2 linked regions of the Callithrix jacchus genome follow. The protein of the gene in region 1 binds, or shares a complex with, the protein of each later gene. Links are inferred from orthologs where the notes say so. Each region holds a gene or a part of one and is shown on either strand. Other genes may lie near its edges.

Region 1 (4,124 bases):
AATGCTTAAATATACAAATATGTACAAATATTACTTAACATTTTATGGTATATGAATTACATCTCAATAAAGACTTTTTTTTTCTTTTTCTTGAGGCTAGTCAAGTGAAGCAGTGGGAGTGGAGAAGGAACAAAGAAATCTGTAACTGGTTGCGATCAATTAGTTGTAAACACCACTGCACTTGGACCAGCCAATAAAGATGCTTTAAAAAAAAACCCGAGAGTGTGACTTAAAACACACATTTCCATTGTTTTTGAGTGGTTTCCAATGAGCTCCTTGCACATCGCGTGCCTGCGGTGACCTCCTTGCCCATTCATTTCTTATTCAGTCCACATTCACAGAGTCCACTGTTGGGCCAGGCACAGGGATAGCAGGGGTAGGACCCAGCTCCCAGAGGATGAAAGACAGGTAAAGAGGAATGAATGCTTGTACCTGAAGAAGCACTGATTTTTTGGGTTGAGGCTTCCAGTGACTATGCTGCAAATTCGAGTACTAAAAAAGTTGATGTGATTTCAGTATTTAGAAAAATACTGAGAAAAATACGCAGTGTTTTTGTTTCTTTTAATAAGTTACAGGGAGTCACAGACCCAGTCTCAAAGCTTCAATTTCAGTAACCATTTATCCTTTCCAAGTGAGTTTTTGCATACCAACACATAAATGAAACAGAATTACAAAATAAAGTTAATGCTGAAAAAAAAAAAGGACCTTTATTAACATTAGCGCCGCCTCACAGTATCTATTTTAACTCCAAGCTATGCTCCCGGCTTGAAGCCCGCACTGGCGCTCCGCTCGGTCGAACCGGGGTAACGCGTGGAGGTGGGTTCGCACATCCTCTCTCCACTTCTTTCGACCTTGGCCCTTTCGCAGGTCCCGGCGAGCTGGAAGCGCCTTTCCCGAGCCCGGGCGAAGAAGGGGCCGAGCGGGGCGGAAGGACTTCCTGCGGCCAAGGGCGGCCGCCTTCTCCGCAGAGACTACAGTTTGGACCCAGATTGGACTCAGCGTTTGTGGTTCGCGAGGCGGAACACAGGGCACGCTCCGGGCCCCTGCCCGGCAGAGCGCGAGCGGAGGGCGGACTGGGCCCGGGTGGGCGAGTCACGTGCGGCCGGGAGCGGCGCCGCGGGCCGGGAGTGTGCAGGAATGTAGCAACTTGCAGCGAAAAGTTTCCCTGCGCGGCAGACTGGGCCGCGGTGCGGGCGGGCGCGCAGAGGAAGGAAGAGCCGGGAGGCGGGGCCGCGGCGGCGCGGGCGGGCGCTTCTCCCAACTTTAGTTTTGGCGTCTGAGGCGAGTTTCTGTCTCAGTCGGGCGCAGCCGCCGCCAGGGAAAAGAAAGGGAGGAAGGAAGGAACAAGAAAAGGAAATAAAAGAGAAACGGGGAGGAGGGGAAAGGCAACCAGCCGTCCGGCCTCAGTCAAGGGAGTTGGAGGGAAAAAGTTCTCAGGCGCCGCAGGTCCGAGTCCCTCGCAGCCCCTCCCGAGGCGCAGCCACCAGACCAGTGGAGCCGGGGCGCAGGGGATGCGGGGCCGCAGCACAGTCCCCCGGCCCTGAGAGCTAGGAGAGCGCCGCTCCCACCGCCCAGCCCGCAGCCCTCGCCGTTTCTCCACCTCGGCCCGTGGAGCCGGGGCGTCCGGGCGGAGCCTTCGCTCGCCTGGTCCGGGGGTGCGCATCGGGGGAGGCAGAAGCCATGGATCCTGGGCAGCAGCCGCCGCCTCAAGCGGCCCCCCAGGGCCAAGGGCAGCCGCCTGCGCAGCCTCAAGGGCAGGGCCCGTCGTCCGCACCCGGGCAGCCGGCACCCGCGGCGACCCAGGCGGCGTCACAGGCACCCCCCGCCGGGCATCAGATCGTGCACGTCCGCGGGGACTCAGAGACCGACTTGGAGGCGCTCTTCAACGCCGTCATGAACCCCAAGACGGCCAACGTGCCCCAGACAGTGCCCATGAGGCTCCGGAAGCTGCCCGACTCCTTCTTCAAGCCTCCTGAGCCTAAATCCCACTCCCGACAGGTAACCTCGCCGCCCCTCTCCCAGCTTCCCCGTCGGGCGGGCCCCAGGCTGGGGGGCGCTCGGGAGTCGCGGCCGCCAGCTCTAGCCAGGGGAGGGGGGGTTGCGGGAGGTCTTGGGTGGGGGTCTCGCGGCGAAGTGGAGGAACTGGAGGCGTCCCCTTGGCTGCGGTGACCGGCTCCCTACTCTTCCCAGAGTCCGGGGCTGAGATTTGTTTTTCCCCTCTGAGTTTCTCTCTGCGGTTGCAGCCCCGGCGGGCGTGCTTTCCCTCTTCCTTCCTTTCTTTCTTCCCGGGGTTCCCGGGAGGTTGGCGGGAGTGGCGGGGGTGTGGGGAGGAAGGAAGGGGGTGGGGAGAGCCGGGCCTGGGCCGCGGTGGGCTTGCACAATGCGCGCGCCTCCGCGCGCTCCGCAACTTCGCTCCCGCCGGGGCCGGGCCGGGAAAGGGGGAGGGGGGCCTCTGGCATTTGTGTGTGGGTGAGTTGCCAGCGGCGGCCGAGTTTCTGAAGTTGAGCCCTGGGCCCCTTTCCTTTGGGGCCTCTCGGTCCACTTCAGTCTCCTGGGGAGTCAAATAATTGTTCTCTTGTTTTCCAATGTTGATTAGGGGTGGGGGTTGAACCGGTCCATTTAGTTTTTTTGCTCGCTCTTCCCCCCCCCGTTTCCCCTCCCCCTCCCGTAAGCTTTTATTTTCTTCGAGGCTCAAGCGCTTTTAGAACACAGGTTTCGGGCTTTCCCTGCCCAGACTTTCCTGGAAGTTGTTTATGGAGTTCTTTCACACCCCCCTGTGCTTCCCTTGTGTCTTGGAACTTGGGCCGGCTCGCTCTTATCAAACTTAGTAGGTTGCGTGTTGGTTTCCCAATTGTAGACTATTATTTACAGTCGGCTGAAACGCTTTTAAATTAGCCACATCTGTACGTTGCGCAGGAACTGAGTTGCACTTTACTGTACCGACGTTTTAACACAAGCCTTTGATAATACACTGCAGGTTGACCCATAGGCCAAGTCCTGCCTAGTTCAACTGTGATTAAAAGTTAATGTTTGGGAAGCGATGACTAATTCTGGAATCGCCATTGCTTTATAATTCTTATTGCGGATATGAACATGGCTGCTTTTCCACATACACAACGTTCGATCATTTTGCCAACTTGATTCAGCATAGAAGTGAAACTATTTATAATGAAAGTGTTAACATTCCGATAGGTCCCCGTGGATTTGTTTAGGGTTCTTTTTCTTTCCTTTTTTTTTAGAAAGAACTTGCTTGAGGCTAAACTTGAGCATAGGAACTTTGCCCAAAAGTTAATAGATTTTCCAAATACTGCAGTGTAGTTAGCCGACTCGGACTGTAACTTGAGTGGAAAGAGTTACCGCCCCCACTCCCATTCCCTCTCCTATTTGCAGGCCTGTTGTATATTCTCCTGTCGGGTTTTGGAACTCAGAAAAGCTCACTTAACCTGATGACAAAAACCCGGGTTAAGGAGGAGGAAGGAAAAACAATTTAGCTTCTTGCCTAAACACTTCAATTTGTCAGAAGTAGACTTAGGTGTGCTTTTTTCTCATACCCCTGAAAGTGGGTTTATGGACTCATTATGGGTAAATACATGTTGGCATGCACCTTACAGACAGTGTATTTTCAAAGTATAATAGACATAGATTGAATCCCCCATTTTGTGGCATCTATCAGCCACAAAGAATCATAACTGGAAAGTGTACTTTTTCTTCTAGTAATTTTTACGTGAATTTCTATCCAGCAGTTCTAAAATTCAGAGTATTATAGTTTTATTTTTAATAAGTTTTTAAGTGTTGTGCATCTGTAAATTCGACTTTTATTTCTGCTAACGATTTCCTAAATCACACTTTTTCTGATGGGAAACAAAGAAAGGTCCATCACTTAAAGGCATGGATATGACTCTACTAAGTCCTTCCAGTTTCCTTACCTTTGTGAATCTAGGAAATTCTTAACTTTTTGGTAATCAAACTCTAATTCTAATTTTTAAAATTTAGATATGCAAGATTAGGAGTAGAACAAATCTAGGTTGCAAATACTATTATTCACAAACTGGTGACTAAGTTTTATGTACATCCATTTTTGTCATGAAAACTGTTTTACAAACGAGAAAACAGGCATATGGAAG
Region 2 (4,323 bases), on another chromosome or scaffold:
TCAAAATTAAATAAATAAATAAATGCCATCTATAGGTTTAAAAAAAAATTACAGCTTTAAAATATCAGTTTATAGCTCCCCTCCCCGTTCAGGATCCAATCAAGGTCATATACTGCATTTCATTGTCATGCTTTTTTTTTTTTTAATAGCTTGAGGAAAATTCACATATCAAATGATTGACCCATTTAAAGTGTACAATTCAATGGCTTTTGGTATATCCACAGAACTGTGCAACCATCACCAGAAACTAATTTTAGAACAATTTTGTCACCCCATGACCTTTAGCTGTCACTCCCCAGGTTCCTCAATTCCTCAACCCTATGCAAACCAACAATCTACTTTCTGTCTCCATAGCCTTGCCTACTCTGAGCATTTCAGATATGTGGAAGAATACAATGTGTGGTCTTACTGTGTTATCTTCTTTCACTCCACATGTTTTGAAAGGTTATCCAGGTCACATGCATCAGTATCAGCACTTCATTCCTTTTTATGGCTGAATAATGTTCTCTTGTATGGGATATTTTGTACTGTTTATCAAGGGAGAGTTTTCAACAGGGGAGTGGCCTAATCTGAGTGGCATTTAAGAAGGTTCACTTTCCTGTTGTTCCAAGCAGCAGAGAATGACCAACTGCATCAAATGCTGCTTTTAGGGAAAATAGGATGAATTCCACGAATTGACCAGTAAGGGCGCAAATAGTTTAAGGAAAAAAGGAATTTACTATACATTGATATATGTTAATGATACACTGGATACACATGGCTGGGAGTGATGTTTTTTGCTTCATGTGAAATTTATTCCTCAAAAAATTATTCTTTTCTAAACGTCACTCAACGTTATGGTAATTATCCAAGATTTTATGCAGCTTCCAGAGAGTTGGCCAAGAGAAAAGTTGACTCTTGCAAGAAGATACTTTCAATGTCCATGCAGATCAGGTAGGTAAGAGTTAAGTTTGTTTTCGGGGTGTTGGCATCATCTAAAAGACTGTAGAAATTGGACCAAAATGTAGAGTTCTAAAGCAGTATCTCCTTGTGGCATGTTATTATTTGGAGCAACAAGGTTACCTACTCGAATCATTGTATCCTGAGTTGACACAAAACCCATCTGTTGACCCAGGGTTTGTATAAGCACGTGCAGTAGTTACTAGCTAACCACTTCTGGGTACGTTCAGCTTCTGGTGCCTGCAAATTATTGGAGAGTGAGTAAGGGACAACGAAAACTAGACATCAAAGGGCCAGTCTCGAAAGATAACTGTCAACATGCATTCCATATTTACAGAAGAGTTAATGAGCGTTTCAGAAAATAAACACATGGAGCATCGAAATTCACTTGCAGATAATGCACCAAGTCCACTCTACCGGGACTAAAGAAGGCAGGGTTAGGAAAGCCAGAACGCCGCCACGCTGTTTTTTCTCCAGGAATAAACGGAGCGTGGGGCTGGGGGTGGAAGGGGGTGACTCGGGCCGCTCCCCCTCGCCGTCCTCCAGCCCAGGCCGCGCTGCGCTCACGCCGGCCGGGCCGGGAATTTGGAGAGGATCCCTGGTCGCTCGGCAGCGGCGGCGGCGCGCGGGTGAGCGTGTGAGCGGGCGGGCGGGCAGGCGAGTGCGCCGGGCATTGGCAGCCGAGGAGTGGAGGCTGGGCGGCTCCGACTCCCTGACGCCAGCGCGACCAGATCAATCCAGGCTCCGGGAGAGAGCGGGCTGAAGGGCGGGCGGAGGAAGGAGAGGCCGAGCGGCTCAACCCGGGCCGAGGCGCGGGAGGGACCCTGGGAGCGGAGCGCGGCGCAGCACCAGGCCGGCCTGACCGGGGCCGCGGGACCCCGCTCTCCCGGCCACTCGTGCGCCCGCGCGGATGGGCGCGCCGCCAACCCGGTAAAACGAAACAGACCCGAACCCAACTTTCCCTTCATGCTGCGTCCACGCCTTCCCCTCGGCGCCCCGGGCTTTCCAGAGCTGACGCCTCTGTACGCGTGGGGCCGCCGCGGTCCTGCGGGGCCGGGGGCGCGGACGGCGGCGGGGAGGGGGCTCTTTCCGCGCGGGGCGGACCGCGACGCCCCCACCCCCCATGATGGCGCCTCCCGGCTGCTCTGAGGAGCGAACCTGCCACCGCGTCCTCTCCTCCTCGCGCCCAGCCCGCCAGGCTCCCCCGGCGTCTTTGTTGGGTCTTCTGCTGTGGGAAGCTGAGTTCCCGGCCCCCTCTAGCCTCGGCCCTCAGGCCTGACCGCGCCGGGACCTCCCCAGCCGCGCTCCCTCTCCGCGCGCTCCTCACATCTCTCCGGTGCTGCAGCCGGGCCGAGGCCAGTCCGCGCGGCCCCGGGCCCATTGTGTCCCCGCGCCGGCGGGGCGACCCCTGCGGGAGCTGGAGAACGGCCGCCGGCGCTGCCTTCCCAGGCGCCTGGAGGAACGGGTCTCGTGGGCGGGGGACCCTGGCGCCCCAGACCCCTCCACATCCCGCACGGGTTTCCTTCTCGGCCCTAGCGAGCCTCTTTGGGGTCGAGGTCAAGGAAAGTTCGCACCGAAATCCCCTCTAATTTATTCAAAGGTTTGGCCGCGGCGCGTAATTTTTTCCTCCTCTTCCGCCTACACCCGCTTCGTCTCCTGGTGTCTCATTCCTTTCCCTTGACCGCAGTCGATTGCCTCACTGCATGTGTATTCGTGAGTTCGCGTTGAACAACTGTTCCTTTACTCTGCTCCCCGTCTTTGTTAGTGTTTCTCGGGGTTGTTTCTGTAGGAAGGTGGGGGTGGTGGGCGTGAGAGACAGACGTGGGCTTGTTTTTCTAGTTGCTGAATCTGTAAGAAGGCTTTAAAGGGAGAACGTTTCCTTGATGATGTGCGTTAGGAGGGGAGGAGGAACAAATGCCTGCCAGATCTCACAACTACAGTAGCTGCGCTTTTGTTTATTTTGAAGCGCATGCAATTTTTAAATAGACGGTGCAAGACAACCAGTAAAGACGCGTTTCTGAAAATTGAGACCGATCTCAGAACCATCTCCTGGGAAAGCATCATTTTCGTGAGTGCCGAGACAACTGTCCTTTTTCTACGTCCCCCCCCCCCCCGCCCGCTCCCCAGTCTTTCTCTCCTTTCCACTGCATCTGAAGTTTCAAAGTACGTGGAATGATACAGAAGTTGCATTTCTGTTGTGTCTTCCTGTTGCTGGAACTCTCAGCTGCTAAATCTCAGAATGCCTTTATTTCAATAAGAACATCTTTGGCTCTAATTGCCTGTTGCGGGTAACTTGCCCACATTTCAGTAACACAGTGAGAAAACTGTTCCCTGCCCATGTTGATTTTTCATCTTGTTTGTAATTAAATTGTATTGAAGGTAGGTGAGCTGTATTAAAAAAGAATCGGGACAGAACCAGTGTTTACTGCCCCAGCATTTTCAATTGGTATAAATATTGTTGCATCAGTGTTATTCTGATGTAGGTGCCAGATCTAAATATGCTGTACTGATTAAAATGTTTGTTCTGCCCTCTCCCACTCTCCCATTTTCAGTTATTTGATATTTCTGTGCAGGTGGTGTATCATTGGTGGTGTAATACTGCAATTCTTAGTAAAGTTTAACTAGGGTTGTGAAAGATGATTTTTCTGGAGGTGGGTGATGCCAGAGGCTCTAGAGGATCCAGGAAGGATCGGGTTTCTTCTGAGGGTAGGGATTTGTCCTTGATTTAGTTTTGACCCCTGCAACCATAGGTATGTAACCAAATACATTTTTCCTCTTGCTGTATCCTTTGGTTTCATATCCTTGAAGAGCTGATGATCTTTGTGTTTTAGAGAAATGACAGTTTTTAGGCAATTAAAAAAACATTGACCTCTAAGACTTCTTGGAATTTAATTTTATTTCTACTAAGTTTAGTAAGGCAGTAAGATGAAGTAAGTCACATTTTCTCAACTGCATTTGTTACATTTATTAGTTAAAAACTAAATTTCACTTTGTAATTTCGATTTCTAGCAATTCTGGGTTAAAGATAAAATCTAATAACTTAGTAGATTGAAAATAAGAAGTAACTTGGGTGTAATTAGACAAACATGTTTAAGCTGCAGTAGCCTCCATAATCAAGGCCAAGTGTGTGTGTATAACAGATCTCATTTGTGTAGTCTTACAAAGCTAATGGAAGCATCACTGAGGCTTTATAAATAATGTAAGTTGTGTATAATGTAGAGTCTCCAGAGACTGCAGAGAAAGCATCATTACCAGGCTTTTCAACCTGCTTGAGATCTTAAATTGATTTACAGCACTGAACTAGTGCAAAATGATACATCAGGATGACATGGGGTCAGCCTGTAAAAGTCTATGATGTCAGCCTATTAGTTCAGTCATCATAAT

The links.
Region 2: the proteins of YAP1 (region 1) and SMAD1 are in contact, whole or in part, in an NMR structure (PDB 2LAW), measured with the Homo sapiens proteins. The link is inferred for Callithrix jacchus from reciprocal best matches to the Homo sapiens genes YAP1 and SMAD1. Residues at the interface, in NP_001123617.1 of Homo sapiens: Glu237, Ala239, Met240, Thr241, Tyr247, Ile249, Asn250, His251, Lys254, Thr255, Thr256, Trp258; in NP_001003688.1 of Homo sapiens: Thr222, Pro223, Pro224, Pro225, Ala226, Tyr227, Leu228, Pro229, Pro230, Glu231, Asp232, Pro233.

The regions. Positions count from the first base shown.
Region 1 is NC_133511.1:37,540,035-37,544,158, reverse strand, and holds the start of YAP1 (transcriptional coactivator YAP1), read left to right. Parts: upstream 1-1,296; 5' UTR 1,297-1,680; coding exon 1,681-1,998; intron 1,999-4,124. UniProt on the Homo sapiens protein: Transcriptional regulator with dual roles as a coactivator and corepressor. Critical downstream regulatory target in the Hippo signaling pathway, crucial for organ size control and tumor suppression by restricting proliferation and promoting apoptosis.
Region 2 is NC_133504.1:51,521,835-51,526,157, reverse strand, and holds the start of SMAD1 (mothers against decapentaplegic homolog 1), read left to right. Parts: upstream 1-1,483; 5' UTR 1,484-1,568; intron 1,569-1,668; exon of another isoform or gene 1,669-3,007; intron 3,008-4,323. UniProt on the Homo sapiens protein: Transcriptional modulator that plays a role in various cellular processes, including embryonic development, cell differentiation, and tissue homeostasis.